Linked DNA regions of Caenorhabditis elegans. The protein of the gene in region 4 interacts with the protein of the main gene of each other region in a pairwise test. Each region holds a gene or a part of one and is shown on either strand. Other genes may lie near its edges.

Region 1 (8,483 bases), on a different chromosome or scaffold from region 4:
GTAGATTTTAGCTGTCAATGATTGGTTGATCCATAAGTTGACTGAAGAACTCTTCACAACCATTCAGCTCAGTCAAACTGATGTCATTCTGGAAGGCACTGTCATTGTCATCGAGAAGTGGGAATGGAGATGTTGACAGCTGAAAATTCACTCATTATATAAATTTTGGAGAATTTGGATTTTTTAATGTTAATTTTAAAGAAACATTTCCCTAGCCACAAGACATTTGAAAAACGCAAAAAAGCCCACATATGGAAGGAGTTTCTTGGGCTCGACCACTTTAGTCTTAACTTGAAACGGTGTTAATAATAGAAATAGAAATTCCCAAGAAAAAAATGTTAAGAGACTTGGAGCGAGTTAGCAAAAATAGGTACCGATTTGTATAAAAGAAAAATCGATAATAGTCACAGCCTCTATCTGAGCTTTTTTGAACGTTTTTCAAACTTCTTGTATATTCTTAAGAATATGTTTGTGTAAAACGCATTGAAGCTAGTTCCCTCAATTTAGAATCTTTACTATCCAAGAAAGTTTCAACATATTTTCCCTCAAATTCCATAAATATTTTCAAACTTCTCTCACCATTGGAGGAGAGTATCCAGCATTAAGCATGGAGCTACATGAATTTGAATGTGGAAGATATGGTCCAGATGATAACAAATCATCATTTGTCTGTGTTGCCACATCTACCCTTCTCACGAATCTTCGATCAGACATTGGCGGTGAGATACTCTGCAAACAAACAAGAAATTAGATTTTTGCACACTCTTATCATTGCCATTTATCAGTTGGTAGTTGGCAAATTTCAACTTTCAATTCTCCGAGAAACTCCGAAATTTTATAGTTTTAATGAGTTTATAGTTTTAATGACAATTAAAAGAAAAAGATAATGATATAAAGTTTGATCTTTCAGTCATTTTTAGTGAACTGACCTCTAAACAAATTTCAGCTGGATTCTCGAATAGTGGTGGGCTAATGCTGCTGCTGATAAGTTGATCATCAAATGTTCTATCTCCAAACATTTCAGCTAACAAGTTATCTCCACTTGCACGTCCTCCAAGAGCTTGACAGAAATGCATGTTTTCAGACATCAATCCGGAAAGAGTCTGAAATGTTTTGAAATAGAGAATGCAACAGTAATGACGACTAACAGTAATTGTTGGCAGAAGAAGCAACAAGTTTCCAAATCGGCTGCTTGCAGAATAGATTGGATGAAGCTCCTTGACAATTTGGAAAAGCATATCTTGAACTTTATCTCTCAACTCAGAAATCGCGTGCCTCGCATGCTCGGATAGTCCTTTTGCATTTGGATTTAAAATAATAATTGCTTTTAATGGAACAATTTCTTCTTCTTTCAGATTTAATTTTCTCAATGGAGCCACCAATTCATTTAACGTTCGATCAATCAGGAAGTTTGAGAGATGACTGAATAAATCAAATTAATTTTCTTTAATTTTAAATAGTATTTTTCATATATTTTTATTGCGTTGATAAAAATTGGAATTAAATTAAAATTCCAACTTACTTTGTCTCATTAAACTCTGGAGGCAATCTTCTTGGAACAAATGAATGACTGCAAAGACACAAAATATCCGGATTCTTCGTATTCTGAGCAGTTCTCGCAGAGAAATTGAAAATAGTTAACGGCGAGTAACAACTTTTAACCAATGCAACTTTATCTTCAGTATCAACTGCATCCGCAATTTCAGTTAATGAATCAACCCAATCAACAGCTGCAATTGCTCTTCTATGAGCAATTACTCCAAGTTCTTCAGTTCTTGCCATTCGAAATGGTTCATAACCAATTTCCATCCGTCGACCATCTAATGCAGGTTTTGATTCAAACATTTCCCGTAATGAAATACTTTTTGGATCTTTTGCAGTGTTTTGTGCACTCATATTATTATCTCCTTTTACTACTTTATCCTCAATACTCATCAATTGCATTAATAAAATTCGAGTCTCGACAGGAAGTTTTCGTGACCAATCATCTCCTTGTAACCGCATCTGAAAATTTCAAGTATTAATTTATACATCATTCATGTATAGTGTAAGTTATTCTGGATTTTATCAACAACACAAACTAAATTTTAACTGTTTGAATATGCATAAACATTTTTCACTCGATTATTCCAGAACAAATAGAAAACATCACAAAAAACACTCAAATCATTTTGAGATTTTCCATAATTTTATGTCAAGTTTTTGTGAATTGTCAAATTTTTGGAAATTTTAAATTTGCCACCAGTTTTTTTTCAGTGTATCTACATTTTCAAAACATACCATATGATTTAAAAGCTCCTCATCAATTTGCTTCTTCTTAATTCTTGGAACTTTCTGTTTTCCTGTCTGATCCCTATCCGGCCTGACTGCTTTTGGATCCATTCCTGCTTGAATACAACGTTGAAATCTGCAGTATCGGCAACTATTTCGCTGGACTGAAAACCGAAACTTCAGGTATTTTCTTGATTATAAAGATACTCAGTCAAGTATATTCGAATTTATTCTTTAAAAAACTTACATTTATCAACAATACAATTATTTGAGAATCTGCATGCATATCGATATTTTCCAGTCAGTGTTCTTCTAAAGAATCCTTTACATCCATAACATGCAAGTACTCCATAATGTAATTTTGCAATTCCGTCACCACAAACAGCACAAACTGAATCTCCATTCTGTGATCCACCACTAGAAACTGTGGGTTGCTTGTCACTGGGCCTGATGATATATGACGTGGCGGGACCACTTGATGACGTGGCACCGCTTGTCCTTAAATCTCCTCGCATCATTGGAACTCTGGAAATTTTAAAGTTAAAAGATCGGGAAAATTAGTTTCAAACACAAAAATAATAAAATTTAAAAACTAGAGTGTGTCCTTGAAATTTTGATTTCTTGATCTTCCCACAATAATTTGTGTCTTGGAAAATACAACGTTTTTTGGTGAAGACGGAATTACATTTTTCAAGTGATTAAACTTTCAAAAGAGTATTATATTTGATACGGTTTTTTCAGTTTCAAAATTGCAAAATTTTGTGTGTGGAAGCGGAATTGAAAGTCGATAGGCACTTTTTTGTTATTGTAAAAATTCATTGCTTAATCGGAGCTAAATGTGCAAAGTTTTCTAGCCAAAAGGCATTTAAGAATCCAATTAAAAAATCATTGGAACAGTGACCAATTCCATTGATGATAAAAAAAATTCATAATTTCAATTTGTTGCAAACTATCAAAGTTCACACATCAAAAAGACCAAAAAGTTCCACGTGGAAAAACTGACGTATTTGGGGGAATACCTATGGGGCGGTGTCTCTCTATGATAATATTACAAAATGGGGGAAATTAAGTGGGAGTGACATTGAAATAAAAGGAGATGAAGGAGGAGAAGACGACGACGATTTACTGATAACAAGGCGAAAGAGACACTGATTTGAAATAAAGAAGAAGAAGAATACAAAACAGAAGACGCTTGAGAGGATGAAGAGAAAATGAAAACATAAAGATTAGATGTCACTAAGGTTTTGAACAAATAGTAAATAATTTGTTTAAAACATTTTAACACCTGTAACTTTATTTTAGAACAGTATTTAAGCTTGTTTTTCACATCAATTACTTGTTTTTTAAATCAATTACACCAGTACAAAATAATTTTTTGTTGATAAACTACTTGTATATTTGAAAAAATGCACTCCCAAAAACATTATTTTCTCAATTAATCTTGCTCAACTTTGGCACCTGATATCTTGGCTATTTTCGATTGAATCAATTTAAAATCAACTGGCAGCAGATGTATTATTAATTTTTCTATAGTTTCAAAGCTTAACTTTTTTTTTGTTGAAACGAACGGAGGTATATACTTTCACAGTAAAATAGTCCGAGTTTTTGAAGTTTCATAAGCGTTTTTGAAGAATTATCATGCCAGATTTCGAACAGTTCCTAGTTAGGAACTATACTGACCAAAAGAGACTGTCGAGAAAATAAGAACCAAAGGAAGAGAGATAGTAATGGAAAAAAGAGAATCGAAGAAAAGAAACGAGAGAAAAATATGAGGTGGTTCGTGTCCGAAATCTCGACCTCCGAACAAGGCAAGTAAACAGGCGCGAACCTTTCCTCAAAGCACGCACACAATGATGATTTCCGCTTCGTTTATCCGCACAGAATTTTTTTTCTTCATTTTACAAGAATTTATTACCTATCAATCTTATAACCCTTGTCCCCCTGTAGGCTTGCCAGACTTGCCAATCACTTTCTAGGTCATTCTACTAGAGGAGGGAAAGGTGATAAAGATACATGAAACACAGACGAGAAACGGATGATGTCAGTAATAAATTAGAGATAGCTTTTAGCATAGGATGCCTATATTCTCCAATCAAACACTTAAATCTTCTTTCTGTTTATCCTTAATTCTAAATTAAAAATCAACGATTCGAATCAGTAAATGTATGATGTCATATTTATATCAAGACGTGCAGACTAATTGGGCTAATTGGATGTATTGCCTTTTTGTAAAGATATATTAGAAGATCAAATGATAGAGCCTCTGACTACAAGGATCCAAAATGTCACCAAAATAAATAAAATCGTAATGCTTTTTGTCTATCGAATTTTTTTACGGGTCTCATAAAATTGGAGGAGGCATTTGGAGATAAGATAACTTGTATCAATTGTTGTTTACAGCTGAATAAGGAAAAGGTTATTGGATAGGATAGGGGAAGTTAACATATACTAGTTTATCTATAAGTAGATGCTGAATTGTGATCTAGAATCAAAGCTGGATTATATTTTAAAATACTTTAATTATCCTGTTTAAGCTTTGCACACGAACAAACTACTAACTAGAGATTTTTTCAAATTCAAATATTTTATACTAAAAGTAAAAACCCGCAAAAATTATTTTTCGAATCGAGTAGAGAATACTTTTAGCTATTAACCTTGTGGAGTGAATACTAAACTGTCTTTCTGAAAACTTCTAAGAATATAATCAAAATTGAATCTCAAAAGAAACTTCTCACTAAATTAAGTGATCTTCTTCAACCGAAGAACACATCTGACTCATATGAACCGATGCAGTTCGTCTCGGTTTCTTGTAGCAAATTCCTTTTATCAATCACAATCATATCTTTCTTCATTCATTCAAATTGATCGATTACCGTCCTTGAACCCTTTTATTTTACTTTTTCTCAATTTCCATGTAAACCATTCCTCAAGTAGCATTCAAATCACAAAGATCATTCACCTATCCCTTTTTATCGCAATTTGATCATTCTTCGCGCGCATCTTGTCACGTGCCTCTTCACTCATTTCCACGCCAAATTTCAAAGTTTCCACGTGGCAGGGTTACTACTAAAGTGGCAAGACAGTAGTATTTACGATCGACGCGCTTTTACAAAGTATGTGTGAGATGGTGGTGATCAGAGGTAGTAGTGCCATTGATAAAATTGCAAATTATTATCACAAAAATGGTTGTTGCGTCGTGGCGGGGCAAGAATAAGATAACAAAGGGGAGACTCTGTCCTATACAAAAGGGAATTAGAATTAAAATGCAAATAGAACACGTACTTGCAGCTTCTTGAAAACTATCTAATGGCTCTAATGAGTTGAGATAATTGCTCAAAAGTTCATTTAAATCATTGTCAATTGATCTGAAAACGTCAGAAGATCAGCGATTGATTGCCAAAATGTCGTAATTTCTTTGAAACTATCAAATGCTTTGATATCAGAATAGATGTAAAAGTTTAAGGCCTGAAGGGATTTTGTATCACATTGACTTTGAATAAATTTAGATTTAGCATTAAATGGGGTTTCAAGTAAATCTTTTCTTTTCAATTTTCAATGTTTTTATCAAAGAGCCACTAGAGCTATATATTTGAGATAAAATTTTTTGGCGGCTTCGGTAAACAAAATTTTTTGAAAATTATTTATCTCACAAGTTCAAAAAATTAAAGAAAAAACTATGAAATGATCTCCAACTGATCAATTGAGCAAATAAATCTTAATAATTTGATATTAATTCTCAAAAAAGTTAGGGTTATGATGCAAGTTCAAATGCACAGAAAAGTTATAATAATCGATTTACTAACCTTTCAACTTTCACAACTCTTGTACCAGGTCTTATTGCATAAGTTGGTTCTTCTTCAAGATATTCATCACCCCAATACTCCCAATCTTCGACATCAAGTTGTTCCATTTTAACAGATGGTGCTGCAAACGGCAGCGTCGATATGGGAAAAATTTTGAATTAATTGAAATTAAAATTCGTGTTCTTCTATTTGTTGTTGCTGGAAAAAAGTATATATAAATGTATACATATTAAAGCAACGGATTTCAGAAAAATAAACGGTGAAAATGAAAGAAAAAGGGACGGTAATTGTGGTCGGAAGGTGGACAGGAGGATAGACGGACGGACAGGATGGATAGACGGTCAGGCGGATTATTAAACGGGTTTAGGTTTCATTTGTATATATAAATATATGAATGTGTTTAGATGAAAATATATATGAAAACGGAAAGAAATTAAACGGTCAATGTATTGAGGTGTCGGGTTATCACATCTTTTAATGAGATTTTGAACGTAATTTCTCTGTAATTAAGAAAATTCAATTTTAAATAAAATTATCTCCAGAAATAGAAAATTACTTATTTGACTAGATTCTACATAGTTTGTTTTAAAACCTTTCTTTAATAATAAAATATTATTTACATCCCGTAATTTATATATGGATTCCTTTTACCTTTCTCTAAGTGAATTAAAGTTAAGAAAAAAAATCGAACGGTCAGTTTAATGTGTACTACCTCTTGTACGTCCAAGTGGATCATTTCAAAAACATTGTTAAGTTCTAATCAAATATTGATAAAGTTAGGTAACGACTCAACCAGTCGCACTTTTCTTATTTTTATTTGATTTATTGGAGAAAGAAACGAGAGTAGGTTTCCATTTATTATCTATTTCTCGTTTTTCTAAATTAATATTTTCATTTTAGAATTTAAGAATTAGCTTCTGATAATAGTTCATGTCCCCCTTACAAATCAGAGTCTAACGTGGCAGCAGCCAAAAATTTGTGATTGATGATAACGAGTGACGGTGGCGGAGAAGGACGCAAAAAAAGTTTGCCAAGCCAATTCAGCAAGCTGGCACACCACCGATTATTGTTCTGATAACTGAAAAAAACCACGTGTGAAGAAGAGGAGCTGCCAAGAGATTAAGGATTGTTTAGTGGACATTTTAAATTTAGAAATCCTTTTTTGAAATTTGGAAAAATATGAATAAATGAAGCTTGAAGATTCAACAAAATTTATGTTATCAATAACCAAACATTGTTATGTTTTCTTCAAATGTTCTAAACTTTTGGTAATTCTCGGAGTTGGACCAATTCAAACAATATACAATTCAAAACTATTTTGGAACCATCCAGAATACTATGGAATTAACATGAAATAGAAACATAAACGTGTAAGTTATGTAAATGAAAATATGGAATAACCGAAACTTGTTAAAAATGCAAAATGACGGAGCGGATTGGTGAAAAGAAATACGGAGAGGATTATGAAAATGTATATGGCTACTAGATTATACAGTACTTTGAACTATTCGTAGATCATTTCAGCTCTATGACGACCACAACGATTGTCCGATTGTTCTTTTCAGATTTTTGAACTTTTAAGCGAAAAAAATTGAATTTTAAAAGTTATAATGTAAAGAATACACATTAATATGAGTCGAACTCTTGGAGATTATAGAAAATATTTAAAATTCTTAATAAAAGTTGAATAGACTTTCTGACTTTACTTGATTTAATCAAACTGTTCTTCGATAATAAATTGGCACAAACTGATAATAACCTGCCAATAAATCATATATTTGTGTTTCGACTTTTACTAAAGATTCTGCAACATTGAGACGTGAGATGGGAAATCCCAAGTTGATGGTTTCAAATAGAAAAGGAAAAGAAAAAAGAAACAAATAAAATATGATGGTTCTGGTGACTGTGTGTGTTCCGCCTGAATAGTAACGTAACAACGACGGGATTTTGGGCGATAGGGGGACACATCAAGGGACACCAACAGTAAAATGCAAATTGGGGGCGGGCGCAATTTGTGTGTGGGGAGAAAAACTATTGAGAAGGAGGAGAAGATGAAATTGGTGAGAAATTGAGGAGGAGGCGGAGACATAATAAGATATGATGAAAATATCTGTTTTTAGAGGTACACGAGGCTTGAAGTTGCAACAAAACCATTTGGTTAAACAACTAAAACAACAAACTACCGATTTGATTAGGACAGTTAAATGTTATGAAAAGGTCATTGAAAAAGGACTATCGGTTGAAATTGTTTTGGATGATACGGTCATGAAATGAGAAACAAGGAGGTCTATTAATAGAATCACACAGTTAAGAACATGGCCTATTTGTGTTGGGATTTTTTTAGAGTTGAAAGCATGAGCACCAGATTTCAATAGGAATATTCATAAGCTACCTAACATGGAAAATTAA
Region 2 (5,132 bases), on a different chromosome or scaffold from region 4:
AATATTGCTCAAGAAAGTATATTTATTTTAAATTTTCAGCTCGGAGCACTCCGCCGCCGCCACGTTCGATTCATGCGAGGATGCTGCGTTGTCCAGTAGACTTCACCTCCACATCTCACAATCACTCCTCACATCCACGTGTCATAGTGCTTAATTGGTGCTATTAAATCGCCGCTGTAAATTATCAGTCCTCACCACACTCTATATTTTATCCAGATAACTTTCTTTTGTATGTGTGTGTGTGTTTCGAGACAATTATATTCTAATTTCTAATTTTATACCCCCTCCCTTCTACCGTGTGTGGTTTTCTAGTTTACGTGTTCTCAGGGTAGCTGAGAACTTTTCCCCCATTCAACAACTAGAACCAACACGAGTTCTAATTTTTATAACTCTAAAATTCCACGCGCACAAACCAATTTCGCCGTTGTTTCTGTTTTTGTTAAATGAAAGAATATTTTGATGATTTTGAAGGAAACATTTATTATTCTTAGCACAAATCAACATCCTTGCACGCCTTGTCTGGAGAATCCTTGTTCTCAATATCCTTTTTCAGCTCCTTCTTGACCTTCTTCAGCTCTTCCTCACACTCGTGATGCAACGGCAACAGCATAGTCCAGCAAAGAGTTCCGATGTTCACATCAAGCCATGCATCGAGATCATCATCTCCAACCTTCTCTCCACCCTGAAATATGTGAATAACGAGGAAAATTGGAGATATTTGGAGCACAAACCTCGACGAGAGCCTTGCAGACATCACAGAAAACACCGTGATGCTTCTTGAGATTGAGTGGGTTAGCTGGATTGGCTAGAAGTGGAGCAGCGGCGAGCAAGACAAGGAAAAGACACGGAAGAATGCGAGTCATTCTGTAGATTTTAAGATGAAAAACTGGAGAAATGAAGCGAAAATGCACCCGGAGCAGTGATGCTCGTGTCTTTTATCAACTTCGCGGCGGCACTGATAAGGAATCGAATCGTTTCTGATGTTTTCAGCATGGAGGAAAAGATCAAAGGACATTATAGAATACACACCGGGTCGTTCACACATCAGATGCCGATTTTTCGAACTGATAAGATCGCTTAGAGGAGTAGCTTTTCGCCTTGACGGAGAAAATATTGATTAATCAGGTTAGCAGTAAAGTAAATGGTGTGGGCATGTGATTTCTTGATAATTTGAGGAAGATGGAGGCAATCAATTTACTTATTTCAACAATTCTGGGGAAGCTTGAACAAAATCAACAAAGTTAAATAAATACGTAATTAGATAAATATTCACATTTCTTCTTTACAAATAGGCTCTCCGGATTTTTCAACTTTCAAATGCTATCGTCGCTTCTCGTGAGCGCATCCCAGGCGATTTGTCGATATCTGAAAGAGAAAATTGACATTTAAAAATTTAATTAAAAAAAAAAAAACAAACCTCTTGAGCTGCTGAACGGGCTCACTGGACGACGTGACGCCTCTTCCGACGATGATGATGTCGTTCTGCTGTACTTCGATCGCCTCGTCGACACCTCTCCACTGCTGACCGGCCGAGTCGGATTTCGCGTCGAGATTCACACCGGGCGTCCAATTGAGAAGATCCGAGCAAGCAGACACTCTCGTCTGAGTGATGAATCCAGAAATCACGTCACGATTCTCGTTGGCAATCTTGACGGCGGTCTCGGTGTATCCTTCCAGCGCAGTCAAAGATCCTTTGGTGCTGAGCTGCGCGATGAGGAGAACTCCACTGAGCCTGTAAGTCGGATCTTTGGCGAGCTTCCTGAAGACTCCTGCAATGCTGTCACTTCCTTGTACGGCATGAACAGTCACAACATCCGCCCAGTTGGCGATTTTCTGGGCTCCAGTGAGCTGAAGAAGGTTCGTGTTTCCAGTGTCGCCAAACTTCCGATCCTCGAAAATGATAAAGTCCATATCATTTGCCATCGTCGTCAGCTTCCTCGTGAATTCCTCGTTGAAATCGGTGATAGCGTCGGCGTGAAGCTTGATCGCCAGCACAAATGGACCAGCGAGCTCGATCATCTGAAGGCACTGCTCGACGGTAGTGTAGTCGACAGCGAGACACAGATTCGACTTCTTCCGGCGCATGATTCCAAGAATTTTCTTGATGAGTGCAGATTCTGTGAGGGATTCGCGTTCCGCAAGCGGAGTTCGCACGTTTTCCACGTACGGTAGACTGGACAGGTTTTCGAGCTCGCTGTTGATTTCCAGCTTTGTTGGGGAGGTGTACGGAAGGTTGAGAGCCTGAAATAATCAATTATTTTATTTTTAAATAGAAAATCGAGATAATTTGACTAACCTGAACAATTCCGTGCCACTGCTCGTCACCGATCGCTCCAGTTGAGTACAAGAATGTGAGAACTGTTTGCATGTCGAGCAGGCTGTGCAGCGTGACACCCGCGTCCTGGAGCTTCTGACGCCCGCCTTGTTCTCGATCCAGAATGCAAAATACATCCGAGGCGACCAAATTCTCTGTGTGAAGCACTTTTACCACGTCCAGGATGCTTCCACCTGTCGTCACGACGTCTTCGATGAGGATCAGACGATCGTTTGGCTGGTACAATCCCTCGATGAGCTTCTTCGTGCCGTAGGACTTGGCCTCTTTGCGAACGATGAGCAGCGGCTTCTTCAGATAGTTTCCAGCGGCGACTGATGCGTAGGGAAGAGCCGCGTATGGGATTCCAAGAACTCCAGCGTACTGAACCTCGCTAATCTCCACCTGCTTCGATATCGCTTCTGAGATAAGCATCTGGAAATAGTTTTCTTTTAAATAAAAATCATTAAAATAAGCTATTATTTTTTTTTTAAACTTTAAAAAACTCACCAAAAGCCCCGGATGCCCAAAGCATTCGCGAAGATCGATATAAATCGGTGAAATCTGCCCAGACTTGAGCTGAAACTCGCCGAATTTGAAGACGCTCGCTTTGAGCATTTGGCGGAGCAGATTCCGCTTCAGGGCTCCATTTCGGGTTTTGTCGGTGAGCGAGCTCATTTTCTCTGAATAGTACGATTACTTTTTGATGGAAAATAGTAGCGATGAATGTAAAATATAACGATAAGACTGAGGGAGATAATATATACTTGTGCAGAAAGCAGTAGTACGATTTGATAACAAGTTTTGAAGCGGAGAAGAGTAGGAGAAAGAGAACAAAGAGATTGATTGATAAGAAAAAGCTTGGGAAAAGAAATAAAATTGCATTTTGTTCAGATTTCTTAGTTTTACAGCGGGAAAACAGAAAAAGAACGAAAATTGGATTTGAAAAACTATTTTTTGAAGAGAAAACTTGAAGGTTACGGTAGAAGAGAGACAATGCGATGGAGAGAGACGCAGAGAAAGTTGCGTAACATTTGGTGTGCTGTACGCAACACAATGAGAGGGAATTTCAAATTTAGTTTTTCTGCGGGATCTTGTCGATAAATTTAATTAAGTTTTATTTAAATAGGGCTCGAGAAATTTTAAGATTTAAATAATGATTAATCAAAGATATGATGTTATAGTTTCAAATGAATATAAGAAAAACAATTAATAAAAATTTCTCAATGAAAAATAGATGCATTATTTTAAAAATTGTCATATAAACATTATAAACATTATATACCCCTCTAAAATTTTTGACTAGTGACGATCGATATTCCCCAAACGCGAACAGCATATCTGACGCGCAAAATATCTCTTAGCGAAAACTACAGTAATCTTTAAATGACTACTGTAGCGCTTGTGTCGATTTACGGGTTCGATTTTTAAAATTAACTTTAAGAGAAAAGGGAAAATAATACGAAAAAACGAATGAAAATGATATTTCGATGTTACTATTCGAAAAAAAATAACTTCAAAAATTGAGCCCGTAAATCGACACATGCGCTACAGTAGTCATTTTAAGAATTACTGTAGTTTTCGCTACGAGATATTTTGCGCGTAAAATATGCTGCGCAATACGCATTCTCAGGATTTATAGTATTTTAATTCTAAGTTTTCATCAAAAAAAACGTTGTCGGAAAAATTATTTTTTCAAATAATTCAGGCGGGAAATTCAAGCAGTTTAAAATTTCCGAAAAAATTTTGCGGGAGGCTCGAAGTTCTGAATTAAAAAAATCACAGGAACATTTTAAATTTTTAAAATTGTTTTCAGTCAATCTTTACAAAAAACAACATTTCCAACACTTTCCCGTTTCTCCCATAAACTCATTTTCCTGCCCAGCCAAAGTTGTCGTGGTGTGTTCAGTGATGCGTTCACCCAATTATGAGAGCTCTCGAGAGATGACGTTGTTCCTCTTTTCCCCATTCCAGCAACACATTCTAGAGCAATTTAACTAAATTGAGTGTAGCGTGAGTGAGTGCGCGTCCCTTCTAGAAAATAGAAAAAACGAAGCGAAAAAAAGAGAGAGAGAGAAAGGAGTCTCTCGAGAAGCTCATTGTGCATAGTTTTGGAAATTTGAAAATTGCAGAAAAATTCAGCCTCACGATTTTCCCAATATCATGACCCCTGCCTAACTTTGAATTAAAAAAAAAACATTTTTTCTTGAAAACTATTAAAATATATTGTTGAATTTGTTTAATCGCACTACAAATCAGGGGTGGGCGGCAATTGCTCCGGCAAATTTTTTTGTCGACAAATTGCCGGCTTGCCGATTTGCCGAATATCTGATTTGCCGTAAATATTTAGAGGGATTTTTTATAAGACGAAAATACTTAAAACTGTGCCTATTTGAACTTTTCCCGTTTTCTTTAGATATTTTTATATAATTTGCTTACTTTTAAAAATAGATGTATGAACATTCCTAGGATGTGTACAATTTTGCCGATTGAAATTGAAATTCTGAATTTCACAAAAAAACCACAATTTGCCGGTTTGCCGGAAAAATAGTTTTCTGCCTACTCCTGCTACAAATTATTATTATTCAATTTCCAGATTTTCTTCTTCTCCTCCTCCTCTTCATCCTCAATAATTGTATATCCGGGGGTGAGTGTATGTATGTATTTTATTGCCTTTCCTCTCATTTTCCACCCACATTTCCCCCATTTCCTCGTTTTCTTCATTCTTTTTGTTTTTTTTAAGTCACGTCATTCTAATTAGTGGGTGGGAATTTTTCAACAATATTTTTTAATATCTATGTGTTTTTAATAATCCTGATAC
Region 3 (4,538 bases), on a different chromosome or scaffold from region 4:
TGCTGTGCAGCTTTACTTTGTATCCAGCCACGGATTCACTTATTGTGATGTATGTCGTTTCGGAGTATCGAATGACTGCAAAAAGTAAGCAAATTCCCAAAACTTTCAGTTGCAGCCGACATCTGGCGGTCTTCATTTTTCCATAGTGTTCCGTAGCGCTTGACTTCTAGCGGATTCAGCATATGTTCACATCGAGAACCCGGTAGATGTCGGGTGCTTGCAACAACCCGTGCAAGAAAAACCTCACAAACTTCCAGGAATTCGAATGATTCTGTTCAGAAGTTTCAAAGAGATTAAACAGTCAAGAGTTGGCACAATCGCGTCAGTAGGAGCAACAAGTTTCACACCAATGCCGCCATGAAAATCAATAACATTCTCATTTCCTCACTATTCTATCTATTTCCTCCATTAAATTTGAAAAAACAAACACTCAGAATATGTGATAAACGATGAAGAGAGTAGTCCGTCACCGGTTTTTCTACCGCCATATGTCCCCTCCTTATTCTCTCCTTTCTCTCTACCCCTTTCGTGTCATTGCACTAGATGACAAAGGAAAATGTGACTGCTTGGCGCAATGGTAGCGCGTTCGACTCCAGATCGAAAGGTTGGGCGTTCGATCCGCTCAGTGGTCAAAGTTTTTTTTTTTTTTCTAAATTTGAGTAAAAACTTAAAGTTATCAATATTATTTATTAAAAAAGTATAAAGAAGTATTGTCTTGTATATACACATAACTGGTGTCACAATTATACATTGGATGACTACATTCTCTTGCAACATTGTCCATTTCCACACGGAGAATAGTTTTGCTGGCAAGAGCAGGAGTTGACTGATTGAGTGAGGCATGGCATCTGGACTAGTTGAGCAGTAGAGCACGATTGATAGCATGATTGGGTGCATGCTGGAGCACATTGCTGCATTGGTTGTTGTTGTTGAATGCATTGTTGTTGGCATGATTGTTGGCATTGTGGAACACATTGAGCAGATTGAGAAACTGAAGGTTCTAGGATGACAGTCACAATTTGTGGAGCAACAACTGGAGATTGGCATGCTGATTGGCATTGCTGACATTGTGGAGCAGCTGGTTGCTGACATTGTGGAATACATTGTTGTTGGCACTGTTGAGTCTGTTGGCACGAAGTTTGACATTGTTGGCAAGCTGGTGCAGATGGAAGTGTGCATTGTGGAGCACACTGTTGCTGGCAAACTGGAGCATACTGCTGGCAAGTATTCTGGCACTGCTGGCACTGTGGAGCTGATGGCTGTTGGCATTGAGGAGCACACTGTTGTACGCATTGTGGAGCTGCTTGCTGACAGGTTGTCTGGCATGGTTGAGTACATTCCTGATAGCACTGTTGAACTGGAACTTGTTGTAGAAGACATTGTTGTTGACACTGTTGTTGGCATTGTGGAGCACATTGAGCAGAGATTCCCAAGTTGACATTGATGACTTGTGGAGCAACAGTTGGAGCACATTGTTGAACACATTGCTGCTGACATTGTGGTTGACATTGTTGAATTGGTTGAGCTTGAACACATTGTTGAGTGCACTTTTGTTGGCATTGTGGAACACACTGGACTGTGACTGGAGCTGGAGCAACACAGGATTGTTCACAGGCTGGCATGCAAGATGGTTGACATTGGACTGGAGCTGGAGCAGCTATTTGAGTATAACAGGAAGACGTCTGACAAGTCTGCTGGCATGAAGATTGACACTCATTCATAGATGGAGCAAATTGACATTGGTTCTGGCAAGACTGCTGACAAGCTGGAGCACATTGAGAAGTTTGCACTTGGTAAGTTACTTGCTGAACTGGTTGGGCACATGAGCAGGATGTCTGGACTGGAGCAGTGTTCTGACACGAACAACTGTACTGTTGTGGTTGAGTTGCTTGTTGGCATGAACAACTTGGTTGAACTTGTGAAGCACAACCACATGATTGACGTTTATCACGAATTGAAGATGCCTAGAAATAATATAATGTTTCAAGGTGTACATATAAATTGTTAACTAATTCTACAGATAATTCAGAAAGTAAGTGAAGCAACAGTAATACAAATCGTACCTCAACAATAAGAAGGCTAGAAACAAGAAGAACTGCTGCAATTGTAATAAAACGCATTGTCAATATGATTGAAGAGCTGCTAAGAGACAATTGATGCCCTTGTTTTAATTTTTCCGACTTTTATACCAACGTCCTACAACCCTGTTTCATTAGCCATCAAACAGTTCCGTCCCACTTATCAAACTCCATCCATCAACCGGCTTCATGCTCAGCGCAAACATAACAATGATAACATGGCAAATGAACCAAAAAACACGCTCGTCGCCTCCCAGTCTTACACACACTATTTCTTGAGGGCACGGCAAGTTGCAAAGATCAAAAAGAGGTTGGGTGCGCGTTTGCACTGATACAGTGTTTTTTTTTTGGATTGCGCCGAGTTTCCGCTTAACTATGTGTACCAAAAAATTTCGTTTACATTTTCAGAAAAGTAATGAAAGGGTTACCTGTTGAACTTTAGAGTTCGGATTTCGACAAAACGATTTTAAATTGTTTATTGCCTTTTGACGCCACTCATTATTAGAAACACCTTTTTGTTTGCTCTCACAATAGCCATTCGAAATTACAAGACTTGAACTCTTGGACTATTTTTTCCGGCACTATTTTTTTACATTGCTATAATCGTACGCAAGCAGTGTTTGAGGGGGTATATAAAGCCTTGATATCTGTGGAAATCATCAAGCCCTGCTTCTTCAACCATTATCATGCGTTTCATCGTATTTGTAGCTCTCTTTGCTTCCAGCTGTCTGCTTATCGAGGTTTGATAAAGTTTCATTGTACTTTCACTTTTAGAATGGCACGACATTTCTAAACTTTTTCAGTTAGTATTTCGGTTTATTAATAATTAAAAATATTATATTAACTACAACAATTTTCCATCACTTGATGAAAAATTCATCATGTACAGTTTTTTCAAAATGTTCTTGATAATACGGTCTAGTTTTCTAAGTGCCCACATCTTACAAATATTTGTTGGACGTAATCGATGTTAGCAACAAAATGCTTGTTTTCCAAGTTCACAGAAGTTTTTTCCAGGCAACATCAATTCGTGATAAACGTCAATCATGTGGTTGTGCTTCACAAGTTCAACCAAGTTGTTCATGCCAACAAGCAACTCAACCACAACAGTACAGTTGTTCGTGTCAGAACACTGCTCCAGTCCAGACATCCTGCTCATGTGCCCAACCAGTTCAGCAAGTAACTTACCAAGTGCAAACTTCTCAATGTGCTCCAGCTTGTCAGCAGTCTTGCCAGAACCAATGTCAATTTGCTCCATCTATGAATGAGTGTCAATCTTCATGCCAGCAGACTTGTCAGACGTCTTCCTGTTATACTCAAATAGCTGCTCCAGCTCCAGTCCAATGTCAACCATCTTGCATGCCAGCCTGTGAACAATCCTGTGTTGCTCCAGCTCCAGTCACAGTCCAGTGTGTTCCACAATGCCAACAAAAGTGCACTCAACAATGTGTTCAAGCTCAACCAATTCAACAATGTCAACCACAATGTCAGCAGCAATGTGTTCAACAATGTGCTCCAACTGTTGCTCCACAAGTCATCAATGTCAACTTGGGAATCTCTGCTCAATGTGCTCCACAATGCCAACAACAGTGTCAACAACAATGTCTTCTACAACAAGTTCCAGTTCAACAGTGCTATCAGGAATGTACTCAACCATGCCAGACAACCTGTCAGCAAGCAGCTCCACAATGCGTACAACAGTGTGCTCCTCAATGCCAACAGCCATCAGCTCCACAGTGCCAGCAGTGCCAGAATACTTGCCAGCAGTATGCTCCAGTTTGCCAGCAACAGTGTGCTCCACAATGCACACTTCCATCTGCACCAGCTTGCCAACAATGTCAAACTTCGTGCCAACAGACTCAACAGTGCCAACAACAATGTATTCCACAATGTCAGCAACCAGCTGCTCCACAATGTCAGCAATGCCAATCAGCATGCCAATCTCCAGTTGTTGCTCCACAAATTGTGACTGTCATCCTAGAACCTTCAGTGTCTCAATCTGCTCAATGTGTTCCACAATGCCAACAATCATGCCAACAACAATGCATTCAACAACAACAACCAATGCAGCAATGTGCTCCAGCATGCACCCAATCATGCTATCAATCGTGCTCTACTGCTCAACTAGTCCAGATGCCATGCCTCACTCAATCAGTCAACTCCTGCTCTTGCCAGCAAAACTATTCTCCGTGTGGAAATGGACAATGTTGCAAGAGAATGTAGTCATCCAATGTATAATTGTGACACTAGTTATGTGTATATACAATACAATACTTATTTATATTTTTGCAATAAATAATATTAACGATCATGTTCATTTATTTTACAGTTGAAAAATAATAAATCAACTTTAGAATGTAATTTTATTTTTCTAAGAGGATAATTTATCATGCTTAACTACCTCTTTGAAATTAAAAACTAGAGTCAGTATCATAAAAAAATTGTTTTTTCATTTTAAAA
Region 4 (5,825 bases):
GCACCATGCGGTCGGCTGCAAATTCAAATTTTTGGAAAAAATTTTAATTTTCAAAATTTCAAAATTTCCCAAATAAGTTTTCCAGAAAACTAAGGGGACATGTGCCATGAACTCAAATTTTATTTGTAGTTTGTAATCTAGCAGACTACAAACTACAAACTACAAACTACATACCATTATCAGGTGTTTCTATAACTGGATACCCAATTGCAATGGAGTCCTCGTCGATTAGCTCCCTCAAAATTGGAATTTTCCCGCCGCCGATGACGTCATAATTATACAACACATTGCATGTCTTGAACACAATATCCTCGAGATCCGGTGCTGACCAACACTTTTCTGGAAATTTTTTTTTAACTTCAAACTTTTTTATTTCAAAAAATTCAAAATTTCTGGATTTTCCGCTGATTTTCGAGCATTTTCACTATAAAATTCGTTTTCAGCGCCATTTTTTACTCTTACCCCAACTTTTTTACGCAATTGTAGAAAACTGTGCATTTTCTCGTGAGGGGCTCGGTGTTTGCGTACTTTTCGAGCTACAGTAACCCAAAATGGTCAAAATTGAGCAGAGAACACGGGGGAAAATGGTGCTAGAGTGAAAAAATTCGAGGAATCTGAATTTTCACTTAATAATTTGATTTTGTGCAAAACAATTGGATAAAATTTTTTTTGAAAAACAACTTTTAAAATTTTCTTCAAATTTTTATATTTTCTGCCGATTTTAAAACATTTTCACTATTAAATTCGTTTCCAGCACCATTTTTCACCCCTACCCCAACTTTTTTACGCAATTCCAGAAAACTGTGCATTTTCGCGTGAGGGGCTCGGTGTTTGCGTACTTGCGTACTATTGGGGCTACAGTACCCCAAAATGATCAAAATTTAGCAGGAAACACCAGGAAAAATGGGTCTAGGGTGAAAAAATGCGAGGAATCTGAATTTTAACGTCAAAATTTGATTTCGTTTGAAATTTTTGGGAAAAAATTCGATTTTTTTTCTTTTTTTTTTTTGATATTTCAAAACATTTTTTCACAACCAATTTTTGTAGTTTATAGTAAAGCCTAGACTACAAACTACAGTAAACAAACTAACGATTCATTGGAGAAACACCGCGAAATGTTTCATCGAAGAAGTTGGGCGGCGAGGACCAACATCCGGACGGGCGGTTTAGAATACGATCCTCATCATCTTCAGAATCCTTATCATGGAGGTTCAGTGATAGATCAGAGTCACATAGGCTCGGGGAGTACCTGGAAATTTGAGTTTAGAGTATGCTGGACTTTGGCAGACCAATACTGAACCAAATTTTCCAAATTTTCACAAAATCTAGATATTTTCAACATTTTTCATATCAAAATTCACGCTCAGCGTCATTTTTTACCCCTAAACCCGCCTTTTCAGCCGATTTTAAGATTTTCTGCAATTTGTCGTAAGATGCTGGGTGTTTGCGCACTTTTCAAGCTACAGTAACCTCAAATTTTCAAATTTTACGCTAGGACTCCAAAAAAAAGTATTCTAGAAGTGAAAAATGGTGAGGAATTCGAATTTTTATGTTTCAAAGGGGGAAAATTTGGATTAACAGGGAAAATGTTCCTTTTTTGCGATATAAAAATGATTTTTCAACAATTTTCATGCCAAAACTCAATATCAGCATGATTTTCTACCCATATCTCTACTTTTTCAGCAAAATCGGAGTTTTTCTGTGCATTTTTGCGTCACGCTCACGGTGTTTGCGGACTTTTGGGGCTACCGTACCCCAAAAGTCTCAAAATTAACGATAGAGACCCAGAAAAAACGGGTAACATGTGAAAAACGATGGAGAATTCGAATTTTCACCTCATAATATTGGATTTCCGCCGCTTTGACTTCAAATTTTCATTTTCTTCCTCAGGGTCCGGCCATTTTTCATCAAGTGTCGGAAGTAGGTCGGCTACTGAGTATTCTGCTTCTTCCGCTATGCTTTTACTCGTTGATTCCATCATTTTTGATAAGGAAATCTGAAAAATGGTGTTCTGGTCTGCTAGACTACAAACTACAAACTATAAACTATAAATTGTAAAATATATACAAAAAATTTAAATTTGGCAGATCAAATCATTTTGAAACTGGCAAATATTGGTCTGACGGACTACAAACTATAAACTACAAACTACAAACTACAAACTACAAGTTATAAACTACAAACTATAAACTACAAACTACAAACTAGAAACTACAAACTACAAACTACAAACTACAAACTACAAACTACAACTATAAATCTCTGACTTCAAAATAGCAGATCTAGCCAAACAAAACTATTAACCTACATATGACAGACTCAATCAATTTTAAACTTGCAAATTTTGGCCTGATGGACTATACACTACAGACTACAAACTACAAACTACAAACTACGAATTATAAACTACAAACCATAAACTACAAACTATAAATTACCAACTTCGAAATAACAGATCTAACCACACAAAACTATGAACCTGCAAATGGCAGACTCAATCAATTTTAAACTAAAAAACATTGGTCTGACGGACTACAAACTATAAACTACAAACTACAAAAACTACAAAGACTACAAACTACATCTTCACCACCACCTCCTCATCCAGCTCACCTCAAAGCTTGTTTTGCTCGGCTTAATTCTGTTATTTTTCATCGCTGCCGCCGCTGCAACGTCATCAGAGTTACGGGGAACTGCGTAAGCGGATTTCGATTTAATAATACTCCGAAGACACGGATGAACCAGAAATTCGGCGTCAGAATCCTCTTCTGAATCGTCATCACCTCCAGAGGAATTGTCGTTGTGCAGCCAGTCGGCTGAGTAGGACTGGAAAAAAATTCAGGAAATTTGGAGGTTTTAGAGGCTTCTTTTTGGTTTTTCGATATGAAAATCGAGTTCCCGACATTTTTTACCCTGGAAACTTTTTTTTTTCGAGCTTCTAGCTCATTTTTGAAATTTTTTGGGTTACTGTAGCTCCAGAAGTACGCAAACACTGCACCTTACGACAAAATGCAGAATGCTTTGAAATTGACTTAAAATGGTGTTTGAGGGGTAAAAAATTGTGTTGAAAATGAAATTCGGTGTGAAAAATTCCAAAAATGAGTTGCGTTTTTTTGCCGAGAAAATTTTTTACTGGAAAATTTGTAGAAATTTGAAATTTTTCACAATTTTTATTAAGAAATTCGGATTCTCCGTAATTTTTCACCCTTAATAAGTTTTTCTCTAAACTTCTGGCTCAATTTTAAGTTTTTTGGAATTACTGTAGCCTCAAAAGTACGCAAACACAAATCGATGCACCATACCTTACGACAAAATGCACAGAAAATTAAAATTGGCTGAAAAAGCTGGGAATGGGGTAGAAAGTGGCGCTGAATTTGAATTTTGATATGAAAATTTTTAAAAGTTGCTGGTTTTCGAGAAAAATTTCGAGTTTTGAAAAAAAAAAAATTTTTAATTTTTTTGTTGCTTTTTGCAAAAAAACCGGTTTAGGAGCAAAAAAACGCTGCTGAATTTGATTTTTATAGTTAAAACCTTTAAAAATCAACGGTTTTCCTGAAAAAACCTACCCTCCGAATAACCGTCGGACACTCGTCATCATCCTCGTCCTCCGTGTTCTCCTCAATCGGAAAATCATCGCATTTTCGACATTCAAATGCGCTCATTTTGTGCTGAAATTTTTAAGACTTAAAATTTCAAGTAGTGGAAAAGAAGTTTTGGAGCAAAAAAAAAAAAAGAAAAAAGGAAAAATAAAAGTGAATCTCTGTTCCAGACATGCGCGCTGGAAAAAATGATGAATGGAGTGGATGAGAGAGTGAAGAGAGTGCAGAGAAAATTGCGTTGAAAAACAACTCAAAAAAGGGGATCATGGAAAAAATATTCAGAAAATTTTCAAAACTTTTGTTCTTGAAAAATTCCAAAAAAAAATTTTTTTTCACCGAAATTCCAAAAATAATTTTTTTTTCCAAAATTTAACTTCTCAACAATTTTTTCGTCAAATTTTACAGCCGAAGCCTTTTTTACCGAGTTTCTAGATCAATTTTCGAGTATTGCGGGGGTACTGTAGGTTCAAAAGTACGCGAACACCGGACCTTGCGACAAAATGCACAGAAACTCAAAATTGCCGGAAAAGACGTGGTAGGGGTAAAATCAAGACCTGAATTTGAATTTTTAGATGAAAAATTGAGAAAGTGAAAAATGAAAAATAAAGAAAATAAGTTTGGAAAAAAAATTTTCTAAAATTTTTTTTTCCCGAAATTCCAAAAAAACTTTTTTAAATCAAAATTGAAGTTCCCTACGAATTTTTTGTCAAATTTTCCAGCCAAAGTCTTGTTTCCGAGTCTCTAGCTCAATTTTTAAGTCTTGCGGGGTACGGTAACACAGAATCTCAAAAATGTCGGAAACAGGTGTGGTATGGATAAAATAAGGTGCTGAGTTTGAATTTTAACATGAAAATCAGGAAAAATCTTGATAAAATAAAGATTTTCGAGAAAAAAACATTTTGCCAAAAACTCAACTTTTCGGGGGTACGGTAACCCCAAAAGTACGCAAACACCGGACCTTACGACAGAATGCACAGAAACCGAAAGTTGTCGGAAAAGGATGGATTAGGGGTAAAATTAGGTGCTGAGTTCGAATTTTAGCATGAAAAATTGATGAAAATTGAATAAATAAAGATTTTCGGGAAAAATTGCTAAAAAAAATTTTTTTTTGCGATGTTTTTTTCTGGCTTATAATTTTCACCAATGTTATTGGCTATATCATATCACGAGTTTTGACATGTTATCTCAATTTCCTCCCCCCCCTTTCTTCACTCCATTTCCCTCATCGAGAGAGCACACACATTTTCCAATAAATTCCGCGCATTTCCTGCTCTCTGAGGGTAGCGTCTTCTTCACACTAATCTCCCGACGAGATAGTATGTGAAAGTGAGAGACGCAGAGAAAATGAGAGCAAAAAAAAGATGTAGTAATGAGTGGGAATAGATTAAGGGGTACCCCCTGAAAGAGGGGGGGGGGGGGGGGTGGGGAGGTGCAGGTTTTTTTCGAAAAACCAAAAAAATTTCTCAAAATCCAACGATTTTCATAATTTTTCACATTGAAATTCGATCTCAGCACCTCATTTCACCCCTAGAACACTTTTTTCAGAGGATTTTGAGATTCTGTGCATTTTCGCGTAAGGTGTGCGGTGTTTGCGGACTTTTGGGGCTACAGTACCCCCCAAAAGACAAATTTGAGCAGGAAACATAAGAAAAATGTTAGAAATTTAATATATAGCCCTATAATTTATTTCCAGGCGAATATATCTTCCGAAAAAGAAATTTTGAAAGAAAAAACTAAAAAAATTGAATTTTCAATGTTTTCAGGTATTTTTTGATAATTTTAACTGTCAAATTCAAGTTCAGCGCCTCATTTCACCCCTGGGACTGTTTTTTCCGATGATTTTGAGATTCTGTGCATTTTCGCGTGAGAGACTCGGTGTTTGCGTACTTTTGGCGCTACAGTAACCCAAAAACGTCAAAATTGTGCAGAAAACGCGGGAAAAATTGTTCAAATTCTCGAAAAACGGGAAATTTGGAAAAACAATTGCAATTTTTTTCGGAAATTTTCAAATTTGAGCAAGAAGCTTAGGTCTGCTAGTTCTAAATCTGTAGTTTGTAGTCTGGCAGACCAAAAAAAAAATGTTGGAATAGATTAAGGAGCACATGAAGACGCCGAATTTTTTCATTTTCTTCTTCTTCTCGATCTTCTTTTTTATAGATAGAATGCATGCCAAAATGAATTCAGGAATTACAGAATTTCTAATGAATACGTGGATATGGGGCATAA

The links.
Region 1: the proteins of jip-1 (region 4) and nhr-31 interact in a two-hybrid assay, tested with the Caenorhabditis elegans proteins (one large-scale study listed by BioGRID).
Region 2: the proteins of jip-1 (region 4) and umps-1 interact in a two-hybrid assay, tested with the Caenorhabditis elegans proteins (one large-scale study listed by BioGRID).
Region 3: the proteins of jip-1 (region 4) and pqn-90 interact in a two-hybrid assay, tested with the Caenorhabditis elegans proteins (one large-scale study listed by BioGRID).

Annotation. Positions count from the first base shown.
Region 1 is NC_003282.8:8,023,242-8,031,724, forward strand, and holds the start of nhr-31 (Nuclear hormone receptor family member nhr-31), read right to left. Parts: upstream 6,273-8,483; 5' UTR 6,182-6,272; coding exon 6,075-6,181; intron 5,417-6,074; exon of another isoform or gene 5,270-5,416; intron 2,797-5,269; coding exon 2,519-2,796; intron 2,436-2,518; coding exon 2,281-2,435; intron 2,005-2,280; coding exon 1,523-2,004; intron 1,423-1,522; coding exon 1,149-1,422; intron 1,104-1,148; coding exon 930-1,103; intron 730-929; coding exon 580-729; intron 140-579; coding exon 8-139; 3' UTR 1-7. UniProt on the Caenorhabditis elegans protein: Orphan nuclear receptor.
Region 2 is NC_003281.10:10,354,655-10,359,786, forward strand, and holds umps-1 (Orotidine 5'-phosphate decarboxylase), read right to left. Parts: upstream 2,995-5,132; 5' UTR 2,990-2,994; coding exon 2,822-2,989; intron 2,747-2,821; coding exon 2,297-2,746; intron 2,242-2,296; coding exon 1,418-2,241; intron 1,366-1,417; coding exon 1,314-1,365; 3' UTR 1,183-1,313; downstream 1-1,182. Other genes in the region: T07C4.3 (ANK_REP_REGION domain-containing protein), read left to right, coding at 40-99; spp-1 (Saposin B-type domain-containing protein), read right to left, coding at 488-682, 732-863. UniProt on the Caenorhabditis elegans protein: Bifunctional enzyme which catalyzes the formation of UMP from orotate in the de novo pathway of pyrimidine biosynthesis. May also form UMP from uracil. Regulates the size of gut granules during embryonic development.
Region 3 is NC_003282.8:15,289,143-15,293,680, forward strand, and holds pqn-90 (Prion-like-(Q/N-rich)-domain-bearing protein), read right to left. Parts: upstream 2,121-4,538; coding exon 2,064-2,120; intron 2,047-2,063; exon of another isoform or gene 2,025-2,046; intron 1,995-2,024; exon of another isoform or gene 1,965-1,994; coding exon 759-1,964; downstream 1-758. Other genes in the region: pqn-91 (Prion-like-(Q/N-rich)-domain-bearing protein), read left to right, coding at 2,765-2,818, 3,096-4,301.
Region 4 is NC_003280.10:1,324,838-1,330,662, reverse strand, and holds the start of jip-1 (PID domain-containing protein), read right to left. Parts: upstream 3,669-5,825; 5' UTR 3,663-3,668; coding exon 3,567-3,662; intron 2,827-3,566; coding exon 2,614-2,826; intron 1,997-2,613; coding exon 1,836-1,996; intron 1,250-1,835; coding exon 1,092-1,249; intron 340-1,091; coding exon 175-339; intron 1-174.